Linked DNA regions of Arabidopsis thaliana. The protein of the gene in region 1 interacts with the protein of each later gene in a pairwise test. Each region holds a gene or a part of one and is shown on either strand. Other genes may lie near its edges.

Region 1 (3,755 bases):
CTCGAGACAAGCTTCCTCACTGTCACTCCCATCTGCTTTCGCTTCAGAATCCTCTTCGCTCTGAGCACTAGAATCTTCCTCAGCATCAGACTCTGTCGTGGATTCATCTGCTTCCGCTTCTGCGTTCTCACCATCAGATTCAGATTCTTCATTGTAGTCATCAGCAAAATCCTGATCCAGAATTAAAAAATATTACATAAACACCAAAAAGAACGAAAGAAAAATGGTGGCATGTTATAGGCAAATTACTCATAAGAATCTCACATATGGGGCAAGAACGCTGCTGTCAAGAACCAACAGGGGAACTTGTACATCTCGAGCAAGTGCTCGTACCAACCTCTCCCGGTAAAGCTCAGTACCTGAATAAAATTCAAATTTCTTATTGGTCATCTAACATTTCCTCAATATTTTTACTTGATAACAGAAGAGCAACATCAAATCCTGGTCTGCCATTTTTATTCTATAGTCAATAACAAACCTGGAACACTCTGGAGCAATATTCTTCCACTTGAAGAATCTAAACGGGCACCATATATGGAAGCGGCATTCTTTTGTCTTATATGTGAGGTAACACATTCCACCAAAATATCTTTCGTGTGGTCGCTGTGAAAAGATAATGAGCAGAATCCATAAGCAGAAATGGAGAAAGAAACACAACAAGCGAGAAAAAAAAACATGTTGTAGATTATTACTGGATGTAGTAAGGGAAGGTCTCCCAAGAAAGCTGTATTTTTTCCCAAGGTTGGATTCTCCGTAAGAACTCGTTTTTGAATCTTTCTCGTCTATTAACGAAAGGTGACTCCTTCTTTTTGCATTCACTAGCAAGCTTCTCATTATTGAGCCATTCTATTTGGTCTTGTTCTCCAAGTTGAGCATGAGAATCCAAATGCCCAACACCGTTATTACTTTTCTCCTTCCCGGTTTTTCCATCATCTACACCATTCTCTTTGTTCAAAGAGATATGTTTATCCTCACTAGCATTCCTTCCATCACCCTCAGAACTAAAACTACGCAACTGGCTATTCTTCAAAATACTTAAATGATTTCCCGAGGCAATAGTACCACCGCGGGGAGAAAATGAACCAAGTAGAGACTTTCTTGTCAAATTTTCACTATTGGTTAATTTATTTGTGAATCCACAATATCTGGAAACCGTATAGTCACGAACGACTGGCCTAACTAAGTACTTGGCTTGCTGCAATACCAAACCCCATCTCTGGTTCCTCTTTAATGCCCTTGTATACATCACAAAGTCCCTTCTCTTCCAATATAACTACAAAAAAAAAAACAGAGATCATTGATTTAGAATCACTTTCAGGGTCCATTTCTTGTACTATCCAACCTAAATGCATTGCAACATGTAATTGCACCATTAAAAAAAAAAAAAAACGAGATCAATATCAACGCAAAACATACTATAGTAACTCGGAAAGAAACATAGATTCTATACAATTTATTTCGACTAGAGGAATAACAACACACTTCAGGGAATTAATTGATTAAGAACAGACATCAATTAAAATGAACGATTATGACGCATAACGGAAAATCCAATGTAACAACGAATATGAGGCATCGATATAGAAATGATGATATATTCAGCTTTTGTCATCCATAACTATTACAAAACACGAACCGTTTAACAGAGATGGACAACAAAACTGGTTCTATTCATCCCCCAAGCTCTAAGAATCAGGCTTGGTGCAAAGAGGAGATGTAATTAGGAACGAGATAGGGTGAAGAAGAGAGAGAAAATCCCGACAGAGGAGAGAGAGATAAAGACCGATCTAAAGTCTGTAGGTTCTTCTTCTGAAGCTGAAGCTGGGTTCGAAGTTCAGCTTCGTTGATGCAGTGTTGTCGTTTTGACGCAAAATTGCTACTTGCCTTCCTATGGATATGGGCCTAACTATAAAGGCCCACTAAACATATAAGAGTCGGTATTTTCCTGACAAAAAAGCCCTAACAAGTTGTCGGATTTACAATCGTACCCCTATTTTTAAGCCGCGCTTATCTCGAACCTATACCTGTAGAGAGGAAATAAGCATTTGGGGGAAATCAATCGAAAACCCTAGGAGAGATAAAAACAAAAATCTAGACGGAGATTTATGGCGACAGCGAATCCTGGCCGTGGAGGTGGTAGAAGAGGCGGTGGAGCTATGGATGACGATAAGTTGGTCTTCGAGACTACCGATGGAATTGAGCCCATCACGAGCTTCAATGATATGGGCATTAAGGAAGATGTGCTTCGCGGTGTCTACGAATATGGATTCGAGAAGCCTTCCGCGATTCAGCAGAGGGCTGTTATGCCGATTCTTCAAGGACGTGATGTTATTGCTCAAGCTCAGTCCGGTACCGGGAAGACATCTATGATTGCTCTCTCCGTTTGTCAAGTCGTTGATACTTCTTCTAGAGAGTATGTTTTCTGTTCCTTTAGCTGGATTAAACCCTTCATTTCAATTTTGAACTTTACTTGCTTTGCTCGGATTGTTCTCTAACCTAAATCATTAGGTTTTGTTTCTTATCGATTTCACAAATTTGGTGGGATTTGTTTGTCTGACTTGTAGAATAGATGAACGAATTATGATTCATTAATGTTCAATCAAAATGACAATGAAAATTTGTGATAGTTATTAGCTTTTCGGTTAGAGTGATTGAGTAATACTTTCTTTTAGGCTGCAAGATCTTTTTATATGTGTACTCATGTATTTGGTATCTCGGACTGCAGGGTTCAGGCCTTGATATTATCCCCAACAAGAGAGCTGGCTACACAAACAGAGAAGACGATACAAGCTATTGGATTACATGCCAATATTCAGGCACATGCTTGCATCGGTGGGAATAGTGTTGGAGAAGACATCAGGAAGCTGGAGCATGGTGTTCATGTTGTGTCTGGGACACCTGGTCGTGTCTGTGACATGATAAAGAGGAGAAGTCTTCGTACCAGAGCTATTAAACTTCTGATTCTTGATGAATCAGATGAAATGCTGAGCAGAGGGTTCAAGGACCAGATCTATGATGTTTACAGATATCTTCCACCAGATCTTCAGGTGCAATTTCACTGCTCAATATTATGTGTTGGCTAACTTCTAGTTTCTTTGGATGTTATTGCATTAGCTTTCTTATTTTATGGATTGGCTTCTTGAACTCTATGTGGATTGAGAGAATTATAAGTTGTTAAAAACCTTTTAGCCACTGTTAAGTTGCTTGAATGTCTTATGTGTAGATTTGGTAGCTATTATCTGTATTATGAACAGCTAAATTCCACTCTATAATAGTTCAATCCTAATACGTTTTTTTTGTAGGTTTGCTTGGTTTCTGCAACTCTTCCTCACGAGATTTTGGAGATGACATCCAAGTTTATGACAGAACCAGTGAAGATACTTGTGAAGCGTGATGAGTTGACTCTTGAAGTATGTTTCTTCTTATGCTTCTGTATGCTCGTTCATGTTTACTTTTACAGTAGGTTGACACTCATATTCTTCATTGGCTATCTTTTTGTGTACAATCTTTTCAGGGAATCAAACAATTTTTTGTTGCTGTTGAGAAGGAAGAGTGGAAATTTGATACACTCTGTGATCTTTATGACACGCTTACTATCACTCAAGCTGTTATCTTCTGCAATACTAAACGAAAGGTAATTGTGGTTCTCATGCAACTGTATCTCAAACTTGTTAACATTAAGCTTCTAGCACTGCTATCTGAACTTGATTTGCAATCTTGTAATTGCTCAAAAATTCATACTATCTTGTGAATAT
Region 2 (3,755 bases), on another chromosome or scaffold:
GAACCCATTTCTGGGAGAAGACGAGGACAATGACTGGCCATGGATATTGATGGGTCTCGAGAAACCGTTCGAGGAAAAACCTAAATCGACTTTAGCTTTCTGACAGAAAGTCTGTATGAGAGAGTCAGGACCAAAAGCAATTCGAATCAAATCTCTTTGTTCCATGTCTTGCAAGAGAAAATAGTCAATGACTCTGGAAGCGTTCTCAAGTTCGAAAGTTCTGATCTTTGAAAAGATTATTGAAGTTGGGTCGCCAGGATCCATGGCCGGAGAAGTTTTGTTTTTCCCCACAAGATGGTGAAGAAGACGAAGAGAAAAAAGGTGAAGGCTCTTTTTGGGTTTGCGTTAAATCATAAATGTATGTTTCTTTTAGAATTTTGTATGATTTTGTCTTTGTAAAAAGCATTTAGCAAAAAAAACAATTTTTTTTAAAAATCGAACCTTTTTTGTTTTTATTGTTCTTTGAAACTGTTATCGATTTTTAGGGATATTCAAGTTTCGTAAAGAGCGAGATTAGAATGGAAAGAAATCATATATATTGACCTGATTATTTTGGCAAATTAAGAGCATTAACAGATTTTAAAAAGATTGTAGTAACAGATTTTAGTAGGTATCAACACTATGTATTCCCTTTTTCATGGATAAAGTAGCTTTTTCAATACATTGTTTTCGTTTTTGTTTTTTTGTTTATTAGATTGATTTGTTAGAAGAACAATTTATATTTGCAGTAAAAGATTATTGGAGATAATTAAATTATTTAGTTAAAATAATTTATATAAAGTAATTTTTTAGTTAACTAAATTATTTGACCCCAAAAAAAAAAAGAAATTCTTGGTCTGCCACTTTCTATACTCTATACTAATAAAGATTTTAGTTTCTTCACCTATAGTAATGGGAATCACTTGGTTCCAACAAAATTGATAATTACAACTGTTTGGTGGATTTAATTTTTTTTTTCTCCCAAACTCTTTGGCGTTACAACCTGCAAGTAAAAGGGGAAAAATGAGGTCAAAAACTCTATCAAAAAACAAAACCAAATGAATAAGGGCCAGGCTTATCCCTGAACATAGCTAAGTGAAAACTAGCATTGTGATGTATAGATTATATAAATCTTAGGACCTGCCCGTAAAGAAAAAGTATACTCTATAAATATTAGGACCTGCCCGTAAAATATTTTTTGCCCTTAACTCTCATGACCGGGCCAGCTAAAGACAAACGGTCACTTGAACTGTGAAGTCTACTATTTTTAGTATAGGGCTCATCGACAACAATTACCCTATCCCATCCCATAAAACAAAATTTTGTCAGGCAGCTGTTCTTTTCCCCGTCACACCAAAACTCGCGCATGACATTAATTTTTCCTCAACACTGTAACGAGTGTACGGTCTTCGGTTACTTCATTTCCAAATCCTACCCGTTAAGATTATCTTTAGATATTATATCAACGGTCGATATAGCTTCTTTAAGGACACGTGTGTTGTTAAATAGTTGTCGTAAATTGACCAGAGTTTTGTACTACTTTAGTCAACAGAACCAGACAATAAATGTTTTCCAAATTAATGCTCTCCCCTCCTCTAAATGACGTAAGTAATTATTGGCGACGAACTAAGATTTGTTTTCTTTAAATGCTTTGCATCTCTCTATGTTTTCTTTCTTAGAATTTGGTCGAACATGTTGGACGAGATTTATTTGAGATTAGAGTGGGAATTAGAAAGCAATATTCGACTATAATGATTGTATGCAAACGGATAAAACAATGATGATCACCATCAAAGAGATGGACCAGTATCGACTGTAAAGTGTTAAATACCACAATATGATTGATAGTATCCTAATTATGAAGTGATACAATAATTTGACATCATGAATGCTTAAAAAGGTATGCCATGATTCACTCTCGACATATGAAATTCAGATAATGTAACATTAACAAGAGAAGTTTTCATCAAAGGCTTAAGCCTGTTTTGTAAGAAACCTAAAAAATCAAAGGCTTAGCTTACTCTGAAGCGTGAAAGAATAAATAAAAAAAGTAAGAGCCCAAAATAAGCCCACTAACATTGACGAGAGGAGTTTAATCAAAGCCTGTTTAAAAGGGAAAAGGAAAAACTAGCGTGAGAAAGAAATACAAGCGTAAAAGCCCAAAATAAGCCCACTTAAGGTCCAATATATTCCTATAAACAACACTGGCAGAGAAATATCTTGATAGAAGAAAGAGCTCCGTCCCCAAAAACAAAGGAAACAAAAAATCAGTCGGCGAAACGGGAAGAGATCTATCGGAAATCTTACGGCGGCGGAAGTCATGGCGAACATAGAATCAGAAGCAGTCGATTTCGAGCCAGAGGAGGATGACCTTATGGACGAAGAAGGTACAGCTATTGACGGAGCTGATGTTTCTCCACGCGCGGGACATCCGAGGCTTAAGTCGGCTATTGCCGGAGCTAATGGCGAATCAGCAAAGAAGACCAAAGGCCGTGGGTTTCGCGAGGAGAAAGATTCCGATCGTCAGCGTCGTCTTTCCTCACGCGATTTCGAATCACTTGGTTCAGATGGCCGTCCTGGTCCGCAGAGATGTAATTTCACTAAATCTCTTCCTCTTTCGCTGTTTTTAGTTAGGTTTTAGTGTTGGCATACTGATTCTTCGCGTTGTTGATTTATTTGTGGTAGTAATTTGTTCTAGGGTTTCTCATAACCCCTTGTGTTTGGGATTCAATTTGACCTAGAAGTTTTTTGAAAAAAATTAGATTGGTTTAGATTTAGTTTGTAACCATTATAAAAAATGTAATGGTTCTAGAGTCTGTGAAGATAGAACATAGTTTCTTTGAGGGTAATGAAGAATTGGGACTGTTTTGGATGAATTTGTTTGTTGTGTGTGTTTATGTGTAGCCGTTGAAGGATGGATTATCTTGGTCTCTGGAGTTCATGAGGAGACACAGGAGGAGGATATAACCAATGCTTTTGGTGATTTTGGGGAGATTAAGAATCTAAATCTCAATCTCGATCGCCGTAGTGGTTATGTCAAGGTATGGAGTTTTGCCTTTGTTTCTTAGTGGCTCTTGATGTCATTATGCCTTTTGGTTAGTTATTGTGAAGCTAATTTTTTTGCTTAGTTATGTTGATATCATTTTGCCTTTTGGTTTGTTATAGTGAAGCTTGATTTGTTGGATTGTTGTCATGATGTAATTTAGAGATGAATGCAATACTGTTTTGTCGTAGATGTTGACTTTACTCTTTGACATGCTTTGTGTTAATCAATGTAATACTGAATATCTGAAATTGAGAGCCAAAAATGATAAATTTATCTTTGCAATGTTACATTGCTTTTAAGAGGGAGATGTAATATTCTGTAAAGTGCAATGCTGTTCCCTAAGGACACTTCGTTTAAGTTACTTCAAAGTGTCAGAAATGACGGGTCGAATAAGATAAGCTGTCTTCTAGATGCGAGTTTAGGAATCAAATATTATTTTTCTTTAGTTTGCTTGAGTTCTCATGGAAGTGGAAGTAACACTTTGCTTTTGTTTTTTTTGATAAGGGATATGCTTTGATAGAATATGAGAAGAAGGAAGAAGCACAGAGCGCTATTTCAGCAATGAATGGTGCTGAGCTTCTAACACAGAATGTTAGCGTTGACTGGGCCTTCAGCAGCGGTCCCAGTGGTGGTGAATCTTACAGGAGAAAGAACTCGAGGTTTGTATCCTAATCTCTTTTCTGTTCCGCTACGACTTGTCTGATCTTGTGCCGATATGAAGTCAAGAGTG
Region 3 (3,523 bases), on another chromosome or scaffold:
TAATCGAGAAAATATGTCACCACAAAGATAATACATACCAGGAAACTCAAAGCTGGATAAAAATTTCCCTTTAACCAATTACCATATGCCAGATTGACTGCAAAATCAAAATTTAAAAACATAAGCAGAACCTAGTAAGGCCTACGCTAGATGGGTCATGGGAAAGATTGCTAGGACATCTGAAGGACCACTACTAGTAGAGTAAGATGAATAGAAGTAATTACCTAATCCCAAAGCTAGAATATTAGGAAGAGGACGAGTGCAGTAGAAAAGAAAATGAAACTGAAGACTGGTGAAAAGTACAAAGAAAGTTTCCACTTGATTTCCAAACTTTTTTTTTATCTGACAAACCAGTAGATTTTGGTCAGTGGCAGTATATAGGAGAAAAACAGCCAACAAGATGCATGTAAGAGATCCCAATTCCAAGGACATGGGAAGGGACAAAGAATCAGATAGGGGAGTCAGAAGTGTGGTATGGAAAGAAGCACTAAAGGAACTTCATACCTGAATCCGGAAAAATCTTAGTGTGGACAATATGATGCAGCCCAACACCAAACGAGCTGCAAGACAAAATGATAAAACTATGATGTGAATTGGTTTTGTCTGTGTTTAGGGGAAAATAGTTAGCGATTCATTAAGGAATTATATAGGGAGGGAGAAACAGAAGAGAAACCTGCAACAAGGCTATAAACCTTGGGGAAGCCAAGGCAGCTGATAATTGATACAACAGGTGATGCAAAAACAGAGACTATGAAGGCTCCTGCAAGAACAAATCAGAGTGGAATAAAAAAAAAACCATCCACTAATGTATAATGATAAAAAAAAAACCATCAACAGGTGATGCAAAAACAGAGAGCGAAATTCAACAGCCCTCCTTACCAATAAAAGTTCGAGGGACAACACCGGGGAACTCCAAATGATCATACTGATAGGAAAAAAATAAAAAGACAGAAGTCGGTAAAAATTGACATCACTCTAGAGATAAAAAAAAAAAGAGTAAAGCTTCAGAGAAGAAGTAAAAAGAGAGGTCACTCACAGAGTCCAAATGATGGCGATGGTAAAGAATGTCGTGCATTGACTTGAGACGAGTGAAACGGTTTCAGTAAAACGGAGAAAGAGTGTGACTCTAAATACTTTGAAAACCTACCTGAACGTTGAAGCTCTCTTCCACCTTAGTATATGGTGCCATGACCACATAGATTGCAGCTACAGATCCCAGAATCAAATCATATCCTGCTCCCACCAATCGAAAGTTTCAGTTATATAAAAAAAGAAAAAGAGATCATCTGGCCGCCTAAGAAGACGAAACGAAGAAATTACCATAGGATTGAAGAAACTTGGCCATTTTCGAATCCGTCGGCATCGTCTCTGTATCGGGGAATCGGAAATCAGGCAGCCCGGATACACACACAATTTCGATGGAAACAGAAAAACTAAAACTGGGCCTTAACTTTTCGGGTTACAAATGGGTTCTGGCCCAATATGTAAGCCCATTACCTTTTTTCTTTTGCGGGGACGGACTTAAAGAAGGGCAAAGGACACGGAGAGGTAATCTCGATCTCGAGAAAGAAAGAAAAAAAGAGAAGGCATGGCCGCGGAAGAAGCGACGGAGTTCTACCTGAGATACTATGTCGGTCACAAAGGGAAATTTGGACACGAGTTCCTGGAGTTCGAGTTTAGAGAGGACGGTAAGCTCCGTTACGCCAATAACTCTAACTACAAGAACGATACTATTATCCGCAAGGAGGTATTTCTCACCCCCGCCGTGCTCAAGGAATGCAAGCGTATCGTCTCCGAGAGCGAGGTCCTTTTTCTCTCTCTCTTCCGATTTGCTTCTCTCTTGTTAATTGTCCGCGTTTTGGTCAATCGACGCTATAATAGCCAATTAGGGTTTTAGTGATTTTGCTTCGATTTTTGTCGATCTAGGGCATCTTTCCTGACTAGTGTTGTAGGTTTAGAACCCTCTTCGTTGTTAATGCTATTATCTAGGAATAATGGATGATTTTGTACAACCTGACATGTGATTATTTGTCTGCGGGTAGATTCTGAAAGAAGACGATAACAATTGGCCGGAACCTGACCGTGTTGGAAAGCAAGAGCTCGAGATCGTCTTGGGTAATGAGCATATCTCATTCGCTACATCTAAGATTGGATCTCTTGTTGATTGCCAGAGCAGTAATGATCCTGAAGGACTTCGCATCTTCTACTATCTTGTTCAGGTCTCCTCTCTTTTTCTTCCACCCCTTGCCTTACCATCTTTTCTTTTACCTAATCCCTTAACTCTATTGGACTCGATTATATATTTAGGACTCTGCCTTTTAACGTATTCACTGTCTCAAACTTTAACATTTAGGGTTTGGCTGTTAACACTCATCCCTTACATGGTTCTGTAGTTTTTTTTTTTTTAGTTTCTGTATTTATTTGTGCTCTAACATATTCCTTTTGAAACTTTCATGGTTGCAGGACTTGAAATGTCTTGTTTTTTCGCTCATCTCTCTGCACTTCAAAATCAAGCCTATCTAGAGAAGAAAATCAGTTTGTGACATGTCAAGACGCGATGAATTTGTTGGGAACATGAGGACTTTGTGACTGAAGTTTGGTTGTTTTTATGTCTCTGGTTCTCTGTTTTTTTTTTTTGTTGGATTTGGGTGAAAGTGGGTATGTAAGATGTTCTACCTCAACTTTTGGTCCTTTTTTGTGTCAACATCCCATGTGAAGAACCTTTCATGAACCACAACCTATCTTCTAAAAACCATATACTTGCTGTTTTCTTATCACAAATCATTCACTCTCCCTAATGTACATCTACATATGATGCATGTTTCTTTTCCCTCAAGCCAATTTAAACTAAGGAATGTGATCTATCTAAAATACAAAGTATCAAAAACTAGCTGGATTAGTCGATAATTAGGATTGTTTCCATTCTAAAAAAACGCCCTCGGACCATTCAAACTGCTCCTCCAAAACCCGTAAATCTGGTTTTGCATTGAAGATATCAAGAGTAGCTTTTTATGAATCGGGAAGAACAATGGAGGATTCATTTGTCAGTGTCAGGCGGATTACTCACAGCCTAGACAGAGGACGCACCTGCCATTCATCCTCAGGTTAAGCACGCACTAGTCTCCTTTACCTTGTTGTAGTGTGTTGCAGAGAGTCACATGCATATTTCATCTTGTGGCAGGATCAGGTGCATGGTTAGGGCGGGGACTGGCTTGTGTTTGTGCACAGAAAAGGGATCACCACTCTCGTTATTCCTTTGATCTCACCCCTGCTCAGGCACCAACTAGCATCAGCTAGTTAGTTAGTTACCTTTTAAGATGGTCGGGGAAACATTAGTAGCTGGTTAGTTAGTTAGTTACAGCAGCTTTGGGTTAAGAGAGATAAACGCGAAGCCATATATATTGACAATTGGATGGTGTATAATTTATTGTTAGAAAACGAGTCCGCATTTGATATTCGATATTGCATTGCGTTCAAGGTGATGGATGATAAGTGGCTCACAATGCGGGATTCCTACATGGAT

What was found.
Region 2: the proteins of EIF4A-III (region 1) and Y14 interact in a two-hybrid assay, tested with the Arabidopsis thaliana proteins (one study listed by BioGRID).
Region 3: the proteins of EIF4A-III (region 1) and MAGO interact in a two-hybrid assay, tested with the Arabidopsis thaliana proteins (one study listed by BioGRID).

What each region holds. Positions count from the first base shown.
Region 1 is NC_003074.8:6,861,685-6,865,439, forward strand, and holds the start of EIF4A-III (eukaryotic initiation factor 4A-III), read left to right. Parts: upstream 1-1,976; 5' UTR 1,977-2,105; coding exon 2,106-2,413; intron 2,414-2,725; coding exon 2,726-3,047; intron 3,048-3,302; coding exon 3,303-3,410; intron 3,411-3,514; coding exon 3,515-3,634; intron 3,635-3,755. Other genes in the region: AT3G19740 (P-loop containing nucleoside triphosphate hydrolases superfamily protein), read right to left, coding at 1-171, 265-359, 479-603, 693-1,246.
Region 2 is NC_003070.9:19,103,298-19,107,052, reverse strand, and holds the start of Y14 (RNA-binding (RRM/RBD/RNP motifs) family protein), read left to right. Parts: upstream 1-2,119; 5' UTR 2,120-2,299; coding exon 2,300-2,570; intron 2,571-2,883; coding exon 2,884-3,020; intron 3,021-3,529; coding exon 3,530-3,684; intron 3,685-3,755. Other genes in the region: AT1G51520 (RNA-binding (RRM/RBD/RNP motifs) family protein), read right to left, coding at 1-264. UniProt on the Arabidopsis thaliana protein: Core component of the splicing-dependent multiprotein exon junction complex (EJC) deposited at splice junctions on mRNAs.
Region 3 is NC_003070.9:402,467-405,989, reverse strand, and holds MAGO (mago nashi family protein), read left to right. Parts: upstream 1-1,533; 5' UTR 1,534-1,588; coding exon 1,589-1,804; intron 1,805-2,042; coding exon 2,043-2,219; intron 2,220-2,463; coding exon 2,464-2,523; 3' UTR 2,524-2,890; downstream 2,891-3,523. Other genes in the region: ALG12 (homolog of asparagine-linked glycosylation 12), read right to left, coding at 39-97, 225-342, 505-560, 674-760, 880-925, 1,037-1,078, 1,148-1,233, 1,321-1,363. UniProt on the Arabidopsis thaliana protein: Core component of the splicing-dependent multiprotein exon junction complex (EJC) deposited at splice junctions on mRNAs.